Callithrix jacchus: one gene and its partners. The protein of the gene in region 2 purifies or fractionates together with the protein of the main gene of each other region. This does not show direct contact. Links are inferred from orthologs where the notes say so. Each region holds a gene or a part of one and is shown on either strand. Other genes may lie near its edges.

What was found.
Region 1: the proteins of BPTF (region 2) and SMARCA1 purify together in Homo sapiens (affinity purification with mass spectrometry; 4 studies listed by BioGRID and IntAct, with this or other methods). This does not show direct contact. The link is inferred for Callithrix jacchus from reciprocal best matches to the Homo sapiens genes BPTF and SMARCA1.
Region 3: the proteins of BPTF (region 2) and HMGXB4 fractionate together in Homo sapiens (co-fractionation; 3 studies listed by BioGRID, with this or other methods). This does not show direct contact. The link is inferred for Callithrix jacchus from reciprocal best matches to the Homo sapiens genes BPTF and HMGXB4.

What each region holds. Positions count from the first base shown.
Region 1 is NC_133524.1:125,188,469-125,194,740, forward strand, and holds the start of SMARCA1 (SWI/SNF-related matrix-associated actin-dependent regulator of chromatin subfamily A member 1), read right to left. Parts: upstream 3,787-6,272; 5' UTR 3,666-3,786; coding exon 3,492-3,665; intron 1-3,491.
Region 2 is NC_133506.1:90,320,680-90,326,399, reverse strand, and holds part of BPTF (nucleosome-remodeling factor subunit BPTF), read left to right. Parts: intron 1-732; coding exon 733-955; intron 956-1,993; coding exon 1,994-2,922; intron 2,923-4,285; coding exon 4,286-4,368; intron 4,369-4,640; coding exon 4,641-4,866; intron 4,867-5,720. UniProt on the Homo sapiens protein: Regulatory subunit of the ATP-dependent NURF-1 and NURF-5 ISWI chromatin remodeling complexes, which form ordered nucleosome arrays on chromatin and facilitate access to DNA during DNA-templated processes such as DNA replication, transcription, and repair.
Region 3 is NC_133502.1:206,128,338-206,134,759, forward strand, and holds the start of HMGXB4 (HMG domain-containing protein 4), read left to right. Parts: upstream 1-2,636; 5' UTR 2,637-2,713; intron 2,714-6,422. UniProt on the Homo sapiens protein: Negatively regulates Wnt/beta-catenin signaling during development.

The sequences.
Region 1 (6,272 bases), on a different chromosome or scaffold from region 2:
GAAAAACATTTTACTCATTACTTTTTTGCTTACCTTGCGGTAGACTACCATCAAAATCTAATTATATGCTAATTAAAATTCCTAATCTTGAGCAGTGCTATTAAAAGCTGTGGGTAATTACTTAATTGGCACTATCTTCCACAACAAATTTTAAAATGCCTACCTTCTAAACCTCATTTGTTTATGTGTATGTGTATGTGTATTCTCAAAACTATATTTTTCCATACAAGTAAAGATCAAGGGTGACTAAGACACTCTAATGAATTCCTTTGGATTTTGTTATCTGAGTCTGGGTGCCATGAGAATGCAGCACAAGGTCAACAAAATGGCTTATTTTAAAGACCATGACATTTTTCTTGACGTTTTTTATTACCAAAGATACCATCTCCAATTTCTAGTGTTGGGTAATCCAACCGTCACTTAAACCAAGTAAGTTCAATAACCAGAAGGTAGGCAAAAATACCTTTGAGTAGGTAAATGTCATAGGTCAATTCACTAAATCTGATCTACTGTGTTCTACACGAAAGCTCTGTCATTCAGAAACCTATTTTTTTTTAATTTGGTAGACAATTCTACCAAGTTTAATAAACTGGCTTCCCATGTCACCAAGAATACAAGCAACAGTAAATGACATGGGAAAGATCACTAGAGGAAGGCACTCTACAAGAAGCCACAGCAGAAACCCAGAACAAAAATGTGTCTTCCACTGCAGTAGCTTCCCTCATCCTTGGTGTGCATGTGTTGTTATTTCCCTCTCCCTTCTTTATCGCTTTATCACTGACACTTTTTTATTTTACAGTTATTTTTAAATGAGTTTATGGTTTTGTTACACTTACATTCTTTATCATAAACTAACATATTCTTTCTGGTGAAACCACATGAGTTGTTTAAACAGTGATAGCTGGCCAGGCTCGGTGGCTCACCCCTGTAATCTCAGCACATTGGGAGGCCAAGGTAGGCAGATCACAAGGTCAGGAGTTTGAGACCAGCCTGGCCAATATCGTGAAACCCTGTCTCTACTAAAAATACAAAAATTAGCTGGGCATGGTGGCAGGCTCCTGTAATTCCAACTACTCAGGAGACTGAGGAAAGAGAATCGCTTCCACTCAAGAGGGAGAGGTTGCAGTGAGCTGAGATCGTGCCATTGCACTCCAGCCAGCCTGGGCAACAGAGCAAGACTCCATCTCAAAAAAATAAATAATTTTTTTCTACCTTCTGGGTTCAAGCGATTCTCCTGCCTCAGCCTCCCGAGTACCTGGGATTATAGGCACCCACTACCATGCCCAGCTATTTTTTTTTTTTTTTGTATTTTTAGTAGAGACGGTGTTTCGGTGTTTCACCACGTTGGCCAGGCTGGTTTTGAACTCCTGACCTCAAGTGATCCACCCGCCTCGGCCTCCCAAAGTGCTGGCATTACAGGTGTGAGCCACTGCACCCAGCCAGATAAATTATTTTAAAACATAAACACAATACTGGAAGAGTCTGGGAGGTGGTTACTTAACTGAGAAGGAACAACCTGTGGGATTTCAAGTGCCTTTGCGTCACTGTCCAGAGTGCACTAACTGATGGCCATGAAGAAGTGGTTAATCTGCACTTTTAGTACACAATTTAAAGTGCCAAGGTAGTATATATTCCAATTTTTTTTTAATTAAAAATAAAAATGATGCAGTGGCTAAAACAAACTTCAGATATCCAGGATGTTCCTGACATACAGCACCACAGTTCCCTATCCTGGGTGGACAAATGAAGAACTGGTAGGGCAATTTCTGATGAGGCATCAGAGCTGACAAATATATAGGTATCAACTCAGTGTTTATTATATGGGTTTTTTTATTGGTCCCGCGTTTTTTCACCATTCCAACTTTTATACAAAATTCAGAAATTCATACAATCTGGAAACTCGACAACCTTTCCTGCCATACAAAAGGCAGTTTGGCACTCACATTTGCCTAGTCTAGGGAATAAAAGGCACATAGACGTTTCCGAATTTCCCAACATTTGATTCATATTGATGCTTGGTATTACGCCCAGTTTTAATCAACAATATTGTCTTACTAAAAAGTACCGCGTAGATCTTATAATGTGTGTGTTTTCTACGGTTTTCATTTAGCACTACAATTGTCCTTCTGTTTAGTCAACCTTGTAGCAATAAAATATGTCACATAAGCAACTGCTAAATTTAAAATTGCTCTTCTCATTTAGGCGAAAGGTGTTAATTTTCCTCAAAAGCTTTTCATTTGGTCGTATAGTATCATATAATGATTCAGACAAAGCCACTTGAGATCTCTAAAGCATAATTGCCCACCTTTTTAAAATTGCGATGACTACTCTTAAATGGGAAAAAAAATCCACCCATAAATGATTAGTTATGCAATTTTATCATACATAAAAAATGCTTATGCCCCATCCTATTTTTACGGCAATTTTTCAGTGTTTTATAGTTTTATTTGCATGTCTCAGTCCACACGAAATGTGCCTTATGGAGCTCATACACATTTTCTGGATTGGCTTTAATAGGTGTTAGAGCAGTTCCCTTACGTTAGAAGCAGCTCATCTTGGCGAAGCTTAGTTTTTTTAAAAATTAAAGGAAAAAAAAAACTGTGTGTGTCCAAGAGCCAGCAGCGCCCACTGGGAGAGGGAGGCGGAAGCCTGGAAAGCTTGGGGCCGGATTGAGGGACCATTCGGGTGGCCCTGGAGTGAAACCTTATACCGTCGGGGGCGGGGCAGCAGAGGGTGAGGGTGCAGATGTTGGAAATTTTCCTAAGCCAGCGTCTACGGTTCCTCAGTTTGGGGGGGGCGGGGGGGGACGACGCGGAGAGCTCCTTTCCTCGGGGTGACACCCCCACCTCGGCAGGCGGGGTTCAAACGAACAAGGGATGGGTTTTTTTCCTGCCATCCAAAAGACCGACATTGCCAAAGAAAGAAAGAAATGTCTTCCCTGTCACCCTCCACCCCGAAATTCAAATTACAAAAAGAAGCACCTTGAAATTCAAATTACAAAAAGAAGCCCCAGCAAAACCCCTTTAGCGCGAGTGTGGGATTGAAGGGCCCAGATTTCCCAGGCAGAGGCCGACGGGAAGAGGGGGAGAGGGAGCCAGCGAGAGGAGAGGGAGAGGCGGAGGCTTTTTCCTGCACGGCCCCATCCCCCACCCCGTTACCCGAGTTCCGGGAAGGTGGAGGGGGTCGGGGGGCTGTCGAGGGGCTCCCGAGCCCCCAGGCCCCCGGAGAGCGGGCACCCCTCCACCCCGCGCCGCTCCCGCCCGCGCCCAGCCCCGCCCCCGTTCTCCAGGCGGCTAGAAGGAAAGGGGGAGGGGAGCGAACGCCAGGCGGTTCCGCCACCGACCCCCTCACCCGCCGCCCCCAGCCCCGCAGAGCTTCGCGGGTACCTGTCGGCGCCGAAAGGTCAGGATTTGGGCCCCTCAGAGGGGCCAGGCACAGGATTTCTCCACCACACACACACACACACACACACACACCCCCTTCCTATTTACCTCCTTCTTCTTCTCGCCCTTCTCCGTGGCCGCGGTGGCTTCGGTGGCCGCGGCGGCCGCTCCCTCCTCCTGAGAGGTGGACGGCCCGGGCTGCTCGTCCTCTATGACCACGATAGTGGCGGTCGCATCCGCGGCTGCCACGGTGGCTGCCACTGCGGCGGTGTCCTGCTCCATGCCGTGGGAGCGGGAACAAGGAGGGGGACGAGGCAGGGGACGAGGGCTCCTGGGCGGCGGCAGTGGCTGCACTGGAAAAAGCTAGATGGAGCAGGGGTGGGGAATCACTCCGCTTCCAACCCTTCGCTCAGGCCCCCCCTTCTTTAAATAACCCTCAACCCTGCCCCACTTCCGTCCACCCACCCTACGTCATGGCCTCCCCCCGTCACTCTCCCCCCTTCCTCCACCCCCCCCTCAACGATCGCGAGACTCCCCTTCCCCACCCAGAGCCCGGGCCGGCCCCGCACGACCAACTGTTGCCGTAGTGTGGGGCGCGGACAGGGGTGGAGGCGGGAACCCATAACTCGCGGCCCCCTAAAAAAATCTCCTTTCCCAGACGCCCCCAACAGTGAGCCTGAGCTCCCCTCGCAGATGCTTGCAAAACGAATCCTCTTTCCCTTAAATCTGCTCTTTGTACCTCGGGGCGCTTTCCCCTTTTGCACAAAGAACTTTTCCTCTGCTCATAACTGTACTGTAGAAGGTCTTTCTCACCATTTGCAAAGAGCGAAACCCCTCTGGGGACTGCCCTTTCCCAGGTTTCTAAAGAGGTCGGATTAGCGGTGCTGTTTCCACCTTCCTAAATTCTGCAGAAGGAGAAGTACTCCTTGAATCTCTGGATTGTAGCTGCAAACAATCACTTACAAGGCAAAGTCTGACTCTTAAGTTTTATGTATATTTGTTCTGTTTTCACCTCTGGTACCTCTCAGGGTGCCAATGTGCACGATCCCTTCTCTTGCCTTCACCACTAAATTTTTAAATTCCTAGGAGGCAAGGTCAAGATCCCCCACAGAACCTGGGGCAACATGTGGTAGGCACTCAATATTAGTAATTGAAATGAATTACTGTGATTTTTTGGCACAGGTTCTATTTGGTAGTAATACAATACTGATGCTATGAATGATCATGGATATAAAAGCATTTCATGATACGGAATCAATCAGTGTCTATCAGCAGATGAAGGGTTAAGGAAAATGTGGTTTGTATACACAATGGAGTACTATGTAGCCATAAAAAAAGAATGAAATGTTATTTGCATAAACATAAATGAAACTGAAGGACATTATGTTGCATGAAATAAGCCAGGCACAGAAAGACAGATACCACACGTTCTCACTCATATGTGGGAGCTAAAAAGTTGATCCCATGGAGGTAGAGAGTAAAATGATAGGTACGAGAAGTCTGGGGAGGATGTGTGGGGTTGCCGCAGATTGATGAAGAGAGGTTGGTTAATGAGTATAAATATGCATACAGTTAGATGGAAGTGGTAAATTCTAACGTTCAGAGCAGAGTAAGGTGACCTTAGTGAACAAACAATGCAATGTATATTTCAAAATAGCTAGAAGAGAGGACTTGAAATGTTCCCAACACATAGAAATAATAAATACTTGAGGCGATGTACGCTCTAAATACCCTGAATTGAGAAGGACCCTTAAGGACAGCAAGAGTGGAGGATTTCTTTTTCACTGAATTGCAGCTATCGGAAGATGGAATTCCTCTTTTGTTGCATGAGACTGCAAAGGAGAAGAGCTCAAGAAATGTTTATCGTGTATTGGTGTGTTCCTGCTTTCAAGTCAGCTTTCTTCCACTGTATTTCTCATTGCCAGTGTACGTTATTTCAGTTACATTGTGGGTTAAATGCACTTTTGTGAGGAAATCTGGGAAACTCACATCCCTTTATAACACCTTTTTTTGGTGGGGACATGTGTTCCAAGTTCCAAAAAAAGAATTTAGAAATTTATTTGGGGGCAGAACATATTTGTACATTGGCAATTTTCCGTGCATGTATAATGCAATCCTTCCTTTTTGAGGTGACGCGGCTGAAAGTGCTACCAAGTATATGAATTTGGCTGGAAAGGTCGATGCTTGGTCAACAGACCTTGCCACAGGATTCATGTAAATATTGCCCTTTGGCTTGTGGCAACAGCTGCTATTTACAGAGTATGTGCTATCCTTATTTGTAAATCTGCCTAAAATTCATGATCTGTAGACTTTGTTCAACAAGAGTCATCTCATTTCTGAGCCTACTCAACACCTTGCTCCATCTGCTACTACTGTCCCCAATTATGTCTTTTCATTTGAAATGATCTTGGATTGCTCTATTCCATTGAGATTGGAGAACAGAGCAAACTTTTATAAATAACTGGGAACCTCAGAACTAATCCCAGTCTACTGGCCAATATGTCCACTTTGGTAGATTATAGAAGTTGTTCAACAATCATTTTTGAATAGCCAATCTTGTTTAGTAGCTACTAGAACATAACGTGCCCATTGGTGATATTAAATGTTTTATAAACTTCATAAAGGCAAAGCTAAAGGCTTCGTGTTCCTTTTCTTATTTTGTATCTGAAATTTGTCATTGAAACCACAGTATGACTTAAAAGCACATCATGATCCCACTGATTAATGTTTTTCAGAAACTGGCAAAAAAGATTCTGGACACGCTGTCTTGCTTACATTCTGTTCATATCAGTAAGCTTTCTCACTATTTTTCTTAAAGACATTTATGATAGTGGCATTTTTGAAAATGTGATATTTCCATGGTGCTCTGTATTTTAAGGAAAACGTCAT
Region 2 (5,720 bases):
ATCATGAGGTCAAGAGTTCAAGACCAGCCTGGCTAATATGGTGAAACCCCATCTCTACTAAAAAAAACAAAAATTAGCCGGTCAGGGTGGTGGGTGCCTGTAGTCCCAGCTACTCGGGAGGCTGACACAGAATTGCTTGAACCCCAGAGGCAGAGGTTGCAGTGAGCCAACATCTCATCACTGCAGTCCAGCCTGGACAGCAGAGCGAGACTTCGTCCCAAAAAAATAATAATAATATTTTCTCTGCCTATCCCACAAAGTCACAAGTTCATTGTGAGACTCAAATGAGGCAATATATATGAAGATTCTTTCTTAATTATAAAATATGAATATAAGATTATTTAAAATCAGAATTTTGTGGGGACCTTAGTCATTCAATATTTTATGGATTGGGAAACTTGAATCTGGAGAAACAGTGTTGTTTGTGGACAGATAACTGGCTGTGAACAGATAACCATTGGGAGAGTTGAACTGGAACTCTAGATTGTTGATGTTTTTCCTACTAAGCAACGTAAATATTCTTACCTTAGCTTACCTAAATTCCTGATGGTGCCATTCAAATACGCATTTTCATTATATTAAAGGATCGTTACACATAAAAATGCTGTACATACAGATTGATGCTTTGAACACTGTTTACATATTGTGTTTTTAATTTTTTTTTTCTTTCATTTTTTTTTTTTTCTTTTTTAGCTACAATTCAAGATGATACATGTTGTGTTTTTTCCACAGGGTGGCAATCAAGGTTTGACAGTAGTAATTCAAGGACAAGGTCAAACTACTGGACAGTTGCAGTTGATACCTCAAGGGGTGACTGTACTCCCAGGCCCAGGCCAGCAGCTAATGCAAGCTGCAATGCCAAATGGTACTGTTCAGCGATTCCTCTTTACCCCATTGGCAACTACAGCCACCACAGCCAGCACCACCACCACCACTGTTTCCACGACAGCAGCAGGTAGAGCTGTGGGTTTGTCAGAAATGTCGGATGTTACTACTACACGTTGCTGGGTAACAGAGGCCAACAGGAGAACCAGTATTTACCCTTGGAAGGATGTGGCTCAAGCCAGTGAGCTCAACAGTTGACATAGTCAGCCTACAGCGTCTCGAAGCTTATAACCTATTCTTACAGACTCCCTGTTACCACCACCCTCTCCCTCCCATTAAAAAAGAGAGAAAGGAAAAAAAAAAAGAAAGGGGGCAAAAATAATGGTTATCTTGGTAACTGGGCCCACACTTACTCATTGCCAGGCCTTGTAGATGCTGATTGAGTCATGGAGGTGATCTCAGGGAGGGTGGCTAAATCCAGTTCATGACCTGAAATTGAGAGCAGGTCCAAAACCACTTTTTTGGCCTTCTGCTACAAGTCGTTATAACTAACTGCCACCGCATCATGGGAGAAAAGTGAGGCTTGATAGTTAGCTTGGGCCAGGTGATTCAGCTAATTTCCAGAGGCTGCACTTCAGAAGCCAGCCCTCGGGAGAGTTAGGAGGGTCTACAGGAGACAGCCAAGAAACAGGCCCAGGCTCCCCAGTTTAGGAGAGTCCTGCCCTGAGCATGTCCAGATGGAGTATTTTAAAGGCAGAGACCTTCTGTGTCAAAATACCAAAATTCTCAACTCTATTTACTTTATTTGTTTTGAGACAGGGTCTTGCTCTGTCAGCCAGGCTGAAGTGAAGTAGCACCATTACTGCTCACTGCAGCCTTGACCTCCTGGACTCAAGCAATCCTCCCACCTCAGCCTCCCAGGTAGCTGGGACTATAGGCATGCTCCACTATGCCCAGATTATTTTTTCTATTTTTTTGTTTTTGTGTAGAGACGGGGTCTCACTATGTTGTTCAAGTGGTCCTCCCACCTCAACCTCCCAAAGTGCACAGGCATGAGCCACTGCGCCTGGCCAAAATATTCAACTTTAGAAAATCTTCTTCAGATTCTTCTTTAACCACAGTCTTATGTTCTAGAATAATAGAAATGGTTCATCTTTCCTTTTCACAGGTACAGGTGAACAAAGACAAAGTAAATTGTCACCCCAGACGCAGGTACATCAAGACAAAACCCTGCCACCAGCTCAGTCATCAAGTGTGGGTCCGGCAGAAGCCCAGCCACAGACTGCTCAGCCTTCAGCTCAGCCCCAGCCCCAAACCCAGCCCCAAACCCAGCCCCAGTCCCCAGCTCAGCCTGAAGTTCAGACTCAGCCTGAAGTTCAGACCCAAACAACTGTTGCATCCCATGTCCCTTCTGAAGCACAACCCACCCAAGCACAGTCATCCAAACCCCAAGTTGCAGCACAGTCTCAGCCTCAAAGTAATGTCCAAGGACAGTCTCCTGTTCGTGTCCAAAGTCCATCACAGACTCGAATACGTCCATCAACTCCATCCCAAGTGTCTCCTGGACAACAATCCCAGGTTCAGACTACAACCTCACAACCGATTCCAATTCAACCACATACATCTCTTCAGATACCTTCCCAAGGCCAGCCACAATCACAACCCCAGGTACAGTCTTCAACTCAAACTCTTTCATCAGGACAAACTTTAAATCAAGTTACTGTTTCATCCCCATCCCGTCCTCAGCTACAAACACAGCAGCCACAGCCCCAAGTCATTGCTGTGCCTCAGCTGCAACAACAAGTCCAGGTTCTCTCTCAGATCCAGTCACAGGTTGTGGCTCAGATACAGGCTCAGCAAAGTGGTGTGCCCCAGCAAATCAAACTCCAGTTACCTATCCAAATTCAGCAAAGCAGTGCTGTGCAGACTCACCAGATTCAGAATGTGGTTACAGTGCAGGCAGCCAGTGTGCAAGAGCAGTTGCAAAGGGTTCAGCAACTCAGGGATCAGCAGCAAAAGAAGAAACAGCAACAGATAGAAATTAAGCGTGAACACACCCTCCAAGCTTCTAATCAAAGTGAAATCATTCAGAAACAGGTAAAGTTATTAAGTAAAAGCAGCATGTTCCGTAGCTTGAATTATTGTGCTGTGCAGTAGACTTAGTGTTTGGTTGTGTTAGGTTTCCTAAATGAGACAAAGTCATTAATGTTTAAATTCAGAAGAAACACTGAATTGACCAAACAAAATATTGAATGACTACTGTGGTGTGGAACTCTTCATTGGATATGTATAATAGTCAGTGCTTATGAGGAATGACCTGTATTTTGGGAGGACTAGGATGGGAAGATGGAGTTAGGAGCTTTAATCATTAACATAAAACTTGAGGGTTTAACTAAGTTTTAAAGCCACTTCAGACATTATAGCAATTCCTTTGGAGTTACTCGAAGTTGTCATTCCTTAGTTTGCATGAAGACTGTGCAAATTATGGACAGATTAAACTCATTTGCATTTCTGGTCACACCTTTGTAAAAAAAAAGTAGCTTAAATAAAAAGTGGCATCATTCAGCAACATCTTGCAATGAATGGCATATTAGTGAAATAAAGCAATTTAGATGGGTTAGAATTAGTCTACTAAAATGAAGTCATACATACAACATTTGATAGCGTTCCTGGCAGAAACCATCTTTTCATCTATCTGTAGCTTGCTTCGCTTAGCACTAGGCAGGAGTTTGAGTGTGGAGTTCAAGTGTTACCAAGTCGTGAGACCTTCATTCAGTTCCTAGGTCTCCCATTCGCAGTCTGTGAAACTCACTTATTCCTCCTTAGCTATAGCCTCTTAAAATCCTTCTCTTTCCAGCCACACAAGATTATTGCAATGATTAAATGAGGTAATATATATAGAAGCACTTTTTAAACAGCAAATGTAAGGTAATACTCTTATGAAAGTGATGATCATATGTATTATATTTAAATGTACTATTACCTAGCGCTACTGTGTATCTGTAAATTGAGAATTACTACACTGTCTATCCCCTAATCTTTGTATAGGGAAGACAAGGGACAGCTCTTTAAAATTAATTCCTGAAAAGAAAGTATAATGTTAAAAATATGGCCTTTGGAGGAAGATAGGTTAAAATTTCAGCTATATTACTTATTGTTTCTCAAACAAGGTGGTTAATTTCCTTATATCTCTGTATCTCGTTTATAAAATGATTGCTGTGGTTCAGTATCGTTACAAGGAGTAAATGAGGTAATGTCAAGTGCATAGCCTAGCACAGTACCCAGCAGGTAGTAAGCACCCAGGCCATCTAGTAGCTGCTAGTTTTATTTATGTTACGATATAAAATTCTTAGTTTCTTTAAAAAAACACATTTATGTGCTCAAATTTCTACTGTTGTTATCTGTGCACTAACCTGTGGTCATTATAAAATATGCGCTTTGGATCTATTCTGTCCTGAAGGTGGTGATGAAGCATAATGCTGTAATAGAACATTTAAAACAGAAAAAGAGCATGACTCCAGCTGAAAGAGAAGAGAATCAAAGGTAGGGGAGATGCAGGGTCTTGTTGTCTGTCCGTCTCTTCTCTTTATCGTGCACATGCACAGAGTTCTGAGTTTATACTTGTTTGTCTTGATCTAAGTTCATTAAATGAGAACACTTGGCACTAATAGTTCCTTCTAACCGGTTTGAACCACTCTCGAAGTTTTCCTGTCACAGGAGGTTTGTGTCTTATCTATAGAGGCATAGAAGAATCATGTCTTAAGCCTTTCAAAATGAAACACCCAGCATTACATAGGTTGTGTATTTTTCTCTAGAATGATTGTCTGTAACCAGGTGATGAAGTATATTTTGGATAAGATAGATAAAGAAGAAAAACAGGCAGCAAAAAAACGGAAGCGGGAAGAGAGTGTGGAGCAGAAACGTAGCAAGCAGAATGCCACTAAGCTGTCAGCTCTGCTCTTCAAGCACAAAGAGCAGCTCAGAGCCGAGATCCTGAAGAAGAGAGCACTCCTGGACAAGGATCTGCAAATTGAAGTGCAGGTAAGAGGCCATGTCCTTTTCTTCTGTGTCCAGTATTTAGCATCTAAGGTTCTTTTTTCCTTTGCCTTTTTAATAAGGTTTAAAATTTCAGTATGTTTTCTAGAATTTACATTTGTGTACATAAAGAGCAGTGAGACGCATGTCTTAGGAAACAAGTTAGAGCTTTTATAACTAAATGTATATTGTATTCTCCAAACTAGGGACTCTGAGAGGTTAGTCTCTTGATTGAAATGTTGTAGAACTCTGAGAAGAACTTTTCATATCTATGACATAGTCTGGCCAAAAGTAATCAGGAATAGAATTTCATGAAAAAAGTACAGAGACTTTGAAGTAACGTTGAAAGAATGAAACATAACATGTCCATTAAATAAGACAACTTTCCCCAGGACAAGGGGGCTCCCTCCTGTACTCCCAGCACTTTGGGAGGCCAAGACAGACAGATTAGTTGAGCCCAGGAGTTTGAGACTAGCCTGGCCAACATGGTGAGACTTCATCTCTACAAAAATGAAAAAGCCAGGTGTGGTGGCGCACACCTATGGTCCCAGCGACTCGGGAGGCTGAGACAGGAGGATCACCTGAGCCTGGCAGGTGGAAGCTGCAGTCAGCCCTAATGGCACCACTGCACTGCAGCCTAGACAACAGTACAAGATCCTATCTCAAAAAAAAAAAGAAAGAAAGAAAAATTTCTTCCTTGACTTGTAAATGATTCTGTAGGTATTGCTGACGTGCTTTCTAGAGGAATTTATTAAAAAATGAAAGTAGGCTAGCCGTGGTGGTTCATGCTTGTAATCACAGCACTTTGGGAAGCCAAGGTGGGCAGATCATTTGAGCCCAGGAATTTAAGATCAGCCTAG
Region 3 (6,422 bases), on a different chromosome or scaffold from region 2:
ACCAAATGCAGCTTTGGCCTCTTCAGTATCATAGCCAGGACACTGACATTGATATAATCAAGATAGTGAATATTTCCATCAGTATGAGGATCCCTGTTGCCCTTTTATAGCCACACCCACTTCTCTCCCTCGCCAATCCCTACTTAAGCCTTGGCAATTGCTAATCTAGTCTGTAATCAGATCCATTTAAGAATGTTATATAAATGGTATCGGCTGGTCCAAAGGTGGTGCATTATCTTGATTGGAGATTCACAGAGCAGGTCAAACTCCTTGTTCTACTCTTTCCCCCTTCTCATACTTTGCCAGGCAAGGTGGCTCACACCTGTAATCCCAGCACTTTGGGAGTCCAGGGTGGGTCGATCATCTGAGGTCATAAGTTCAAGACCAGCCTGGCCAACATGGTGAAACCCCATCTCTACCAAAAATATAAAAATTAGCTGAGCATGGTGGTGCATGCCTGAAGTCCCAGCTACTTGGGAGGCTGAGGCAGGAGAATCGCTTGAATTCATGAGGCGGAGGTTGCAGTAAGATGAGATCACACCAATGCACTCCAGCCAGGGGGACAAAGCAAGACTGTCTCAAAATAAATAAATGACTCATAGAGTGTGTAACTCTTGGGGATTGCCTGTTTGCAGTCAGCATAATTCTCTGGAGAGTCATTCAGGTTACTGTGTGGGTCAATAGTGCTCATTCCTTGCTGCTGCTGAATTGGATTCCACGATGTGGACGTGCCACAGTCTGCTTAACCATTCACCTGTTTAAGGCCTCATTGTTTAATCACCAGTGCCTTGTAGACAGTCACTGGACTTGCATGCGAAGTCCGTCCTGAAGAGCAACACTACTTGTGATTAGGAGCGTCGGCTGCGAAGTCTGACTCCTAACTCCAGAACTTGCTGTTCATGTGGGGTTGAGTCATCTACTTAACCTCGGTCTGCCTCAGTTTTCTCATCTGTAACATTTAGTTAATTCTCATAAGAAGTCTGTAAGTGCCCATCTTACAGACTCGTCATGAGAATTAACTAAATCTGCATGTTATGTGTTTAACCCAAAGTCTGGCTTATGGTAAGAACTCAATTACAGTTAAGTAATAACAATAATTAACACTATAATAACAATACTTAGTAACAGACATTCACTGAACTGAATCGAAAACCAAATGAGAACATTCACATTTGCAAAATATTCAAATCAGGGGGTTGTGGCACATTGTAAATGGAATAATTCGGCCAAGTGTGGTGGCCAAGGCCTGTAATCCCAGCACTTTGGGAGGCAGAGTAATTCGGCCAAGTGTGGTGGCCAAGGCCTGTAATCCCAGCACTTTGGGAGGCAGAGTAATTCGGCCAAGTGTGGTCTCATGACCACATCATTTTCAAGCACTCACCTAATTCTGCAATGATAAATCTGCTAGGACAGGGGTTCTTAATTTTTGTTGGGGCCTCGGCCCCAGGAAAATACACATTGCACATTGCACAAACGCACGATTTTATGTTGCATGGGGTTCACAACTCTAGAAGCCAATCTACATCTCTAACCTCTCTGCTTAACAGTAACACCAGCTTCTGTTGAGCTCCTCCAGTGAAAGGGAGCCCACTACTCACAAGGAAGGCCATTATACTATTGAACTGTACTAGAAAAATAAGTTCTTCATATATATATATATATATACATACATACATATATACATACATATATATATTTCAGACGGAGTCTCGCTGTCGCCCAGGCTGGAGTGCAGTGGCTTGATCTCGGCTCACTGCAACCACTACCTCCTGGGTTCAAGCGCTTCTCCTGCCTCAGCCTCCAGAGTAGCTGGGACTACAGGCGTCCGCCACCACGCCTGACTAATGTTTGTATTTTTAGTGGAGACGGGATTTCGCCACGTTGGCCAGGCTAGTCTGGAATTCCTGACGTCAGGTGATCCGCCCGCCTCAGCCTCCCAAAGTGCTGGGATTACAGGTGTGAGCCACCGCCCCTGGCGTTCTTTATATTAAATCAAGTTCTGCACACTGTAATTTCCACCCATTGGTCCGAGTTCTCCATGGCAAATCGGAAAAATTGTGTTCTCGCCTGTAAATGACATCTCTTCCTCTCTCTCTGAAGACTGTTTCAAACTAAGAAATGTAGATGATTCGCCATGCAAATTGTTTTACTGTACATTGTCACAAAGTTCTACCACCTCACTCCTAATCTGCCAAATAGCCAAATGTAGATGCTGAAGTTCAAATAAGCACACTGCTATTGATCTGCATGGATCTAGGTTTTGCAAAGAGGAGAAGTGCTGTATATAAATATCTTGAAAGAACAGCATAGTATTTTGGGGAAAGCACCGCATTCAGAATCAGAAGACTGGAAGTAATACTCCGTCTCCTATTCCAACTACCTGCGCATCCTTGGGCACGTCACTTCTCTCGGCCTGGTTCTCTTCTGCAAAATGCGACAAGAATACAGTGAGGATTAAGCGAAATATTTGTAAGCTTCCAGGGCAAGGCTGGCACATAGCAAATTTTCAACCAACGCCAGCTCCGGTGCTCAGCAAGCTCCGAGTTTTATTCGATGTGCTCGACGCTCTTTGTCGAACGGGATTCCCCCTCCGGAGCCTGAGTCTGCGCTCTGGGCTCGACTGAGGCTCCCTGGCCGCTCGCGCTTTTCTCTCCTTCTCCAAGATGGCGGCAGTCGGCGGCGCTGAGGCGGGATCCGGGCGAGCCGAGTGAAGGTAGCGGCGAGCGGAGCCCCCAAGAGGCCGGGCTGGGCCCCCACCCAGAGGCGGCAGCAGCCCCGCCCCCCCGCCACCCGCCGTCCTGGGCCCGCGACACCGCCTCTGAGGCGCCCCAGGCCCGTCGCGGCCTAGCCCAGGGGCCGAGCCGGGGACTGAAGTAGCGGCCGCAGCCGCCCCCAGGAAGCGGCTGGAGCGGGCAGAAGGAGGAGGGCGGGCGGGAGCTGTTCAAACGGGGAAGGCGGGAAAGCTGCGGGGCCGGGAGGGGGCGTGCGGCCGCCCTGGGGGCCTGCGGACCCGGTGCGCCCCTCCCCCTGCCTGGGCCGTCTCCGCCTTCGGGGGCGCCGTGAGGCCGCCGGGGACGCAGGAAGCCGGGTCCAGGTCGAACTGTACGGCTCGGAACTCGCGATGCGAGGGTCCCGGGGGCTGTCAGGGGGAAAGGGCCCGGGGCCGCGGCCACGGGAGGGCTGGGGCCGCGGCTGGCAGGAGAGGGTACGAGGAGCTTTCTTCTTTTCCTCTTCACAGAGCTTTGTTGAAGTAGCTGTTGCCTCAAAACTGCCGGGAGAAACCCACTGGTTTGCCGTGGGGAACCACAAAAATGGTGGTCCCGGGGGCAGATGGTGTAAATCACCTGGTATTGTGTGTATTCTTTGCGTGCACCCCGGCCTGGCCGTGCCTTCATGGTGGGAGCCTTCTTCATGCAGGCCCATTTTCCCTCCACAACTACTACTTGTAGATTCACTTTATAGCGTGCAGAAGCGGAGAAACATCTCTGTCCCCTCTTTCTGAGGGCTAACTGGTGGCTGATTATATTTCCTCCTAATAGAATACATTAAAAAAACTGAATCCCAAATAAAGCCTGTTGATTGGACAAGGCTTGTCCAAATTTCTGTTGCTCGTCTTTCGGAATGTGTGTTGTCAGCCGATCTGTTCGGTGGTCGTGGTTCCGGTGAATTGCACTGCAGTGAGAGGATTCCATCCCCATCCCAGACTGGGGATCTCTGCAGCTTCCAGAGCTGGCAGGGGCTGGGAGTGCTGCCTAGGTAGGTCCCCGGAGAAGGGAGTGACAAGAGGATTCGGAGCCGCTGTGTTCGGAGACTGGAGGAAACCTGGACGAAAATGAGAAGGCATCACTTGCTTGTATCCTAGAAGTAACAACAAGAAAATTTCAGAAATTGGCAACCAGTGGATGCTCATCTTCCTTTACCTGCACTGACTGGCATTTTGAGTTCTTGAAAGGAGTGATGGAAGAAGAGAACGCAGAATCTTGGACAAGGCTCTCATCCTGGAACAGACCTGGATTTCAGAATTTCTCTCACTGGCCCTTTGGTGGGACTCCCTTTGTTTCCTTTTTTTCGATACTTATTCACATTATGGGATGAAGAAGCTAATGTTAGTGATTGCAGGAGCTCACCTTACCTCAAAAAAACAACCATCTGAAACCTTTTTTTAGTATTATTTGAAGTTTCAAAATAACAAAGATTTGTTGTTATAATGATTTCAAAGTCATATCTGATGATTTTTTCCCCCTGATTACTTTGGACATCCCAGATGAACATAACTTGTATACTTGTCTACAAGGGAAAGAGCAACTCTGCTGCCTCCTTTTCAGATTCGGAAGAAAAGTCCCCGAAGAGCTATTTGACAATTTGTATATAAGTATACATTTTGATGGTACCAGTTTTGTGCTTGTATCACCAGTATAAAATAATGAACTTTTACCTACGTTGTCATATCTTACCACACTGAGACACAGTTATTCCTGCCTCCTGGAATTGACAACATTGAATTTTATAAACTCCCAAATTATTGAATTGAGAATGGGTTTCAGCACCTGTTTCACATTTGCCAACATTTAATGTAATTATGACCTCCCTTTTCTAATGTGAAAAACCTAGTATTTTTCATTTCCATTAATCCTCACAATCTACTCTCTACCCCTGAACTCTGAATTTTCACGGATCATATTCAAGACCTGGGAGGAATATCAGGGGTTCATCTGATCTCATATAAATGTTGCCTAACCTCTGGCTTTCTTTCACACTGTTGCTTGAGGTTTATCTGGTATCTTTCTTCTATGAGTCAACAACCAAAACTAAACCCTGAGTTGCAATAATATCCTGATTTTAAAGAACCTAGAAATTCAAGGCCCAGCAGTCTGCCCAAGCTGTGAGTGATATAGTCTGTGTTTAATTTTAGTTTTTCAAGCTTTTGGCTGTCCAGTTCTTTAGTGAACTGGACTTGTCTTCAGGCCTCATTCATATTTTTTCTTCAGGTTATTTAATCCAGTAATTAATAAAATGCATTTCAGTGTTTTTAAGAAAATTAAACAGTAGCAGACCTAATCTAATATGTAATGCTAACACCACATTTTCTGTGTTGCTCTGTGCCTCTGAGAAGCAGTTCCTAATTTTCTATTCCCTCTCACAACTTTTTAATCCACTAGTTTTTTAAAGCAGTCAGTAGCGAGACCACAATACAGTCATCTTCTTATACTGTCTTCAGAGGTACTTCTATTCTGTTAGGTTGCCCTACTATGTTTTATGTTGATTTCGATGTCACCAAAGGGAAGGCCTGTTTATAAGTCTCAGGACCAGCCTTTGCTTATATTTACAAGTGCATTTTGTTGACAACATTGATGGCTGTATTTATGACATTTAATATTTAAGATTTTGCTATTATTTCTCAAATATTCTTGCCAAAATTCATGCACAGAAAGCGTTTAATTTGAGGTCTCCAGTGGTAGTTCTTGGCATTATCAGCGTATGAAAATCAATATCATCTGTATATTTTTCTTATGAACTCAGTATTTTAGTGCCATTGAGAGGATATGCTGTTTTCAAGTAAATGGATGTAATTCCCTATATTTCACTTCTCCCTGCACCCCTTTTGGAGTTAGCACCACTTGGGTGGAAAGGGGAAAACAGTAGTTTCCATTGAGAAAGTTGGAACATGAAATACTGGCTAAATTATTTATCTTGCCTCTTTGCATTTTTATCTGAGGGCTGACCTTATGTCCCTTTCATTTCCTATGAAAAGGCCCTTCAAACAGGCGGTTCTCCAGTTTATCTTTAAAACCATCCAGGTTAATGTCGTTCTATTACTCTAGCTTCTCTTACTTTGACTAAATCCATTCTTTATTTCACTTCTCAGAGAAGGGAAGAAATGCTTTTTTATGTTTCTTTTCTTAATGTCACTTATGAATCATTCTTGGTAATGCTTCATTTTCCTGTTTTCATTGTAGGCCTACCTGTACATTGTATTTTATCTGATTTGTGCAAATAAGTATTTTATTTTTTTAAAAAATGTAACTCTTAGGAAAGTTTTCCTTGTTAATCAAATTCATCTTTTCTTTCACGAAAGTTCCATGCTTCGGTATTGTCTACAGCTACCTGAAGGAATTAGTAATGTATAATTTAAGTGTCCTTCAGTATTTCTAAATCCCCTTATAATAATCAAGGTAAATTTAAATAAATGATCAATTAGATTAACTTTATAATCATTTGACTTCATTGGATAGAACATTTCCAAAATATTTAATATATAATTTTAAATTTCCTGAAGGACTTGTGACATTGCTTGTTCTTAAGACATTTAAAGAGCTTTACCTTACATGCATTTTATAGCATTGTCCTCTTCAGTCAAGATGGGCATATAAACTGAAATGCCAAAAAATGCTCTAAAAATTCAATACAATAACTAGAACATT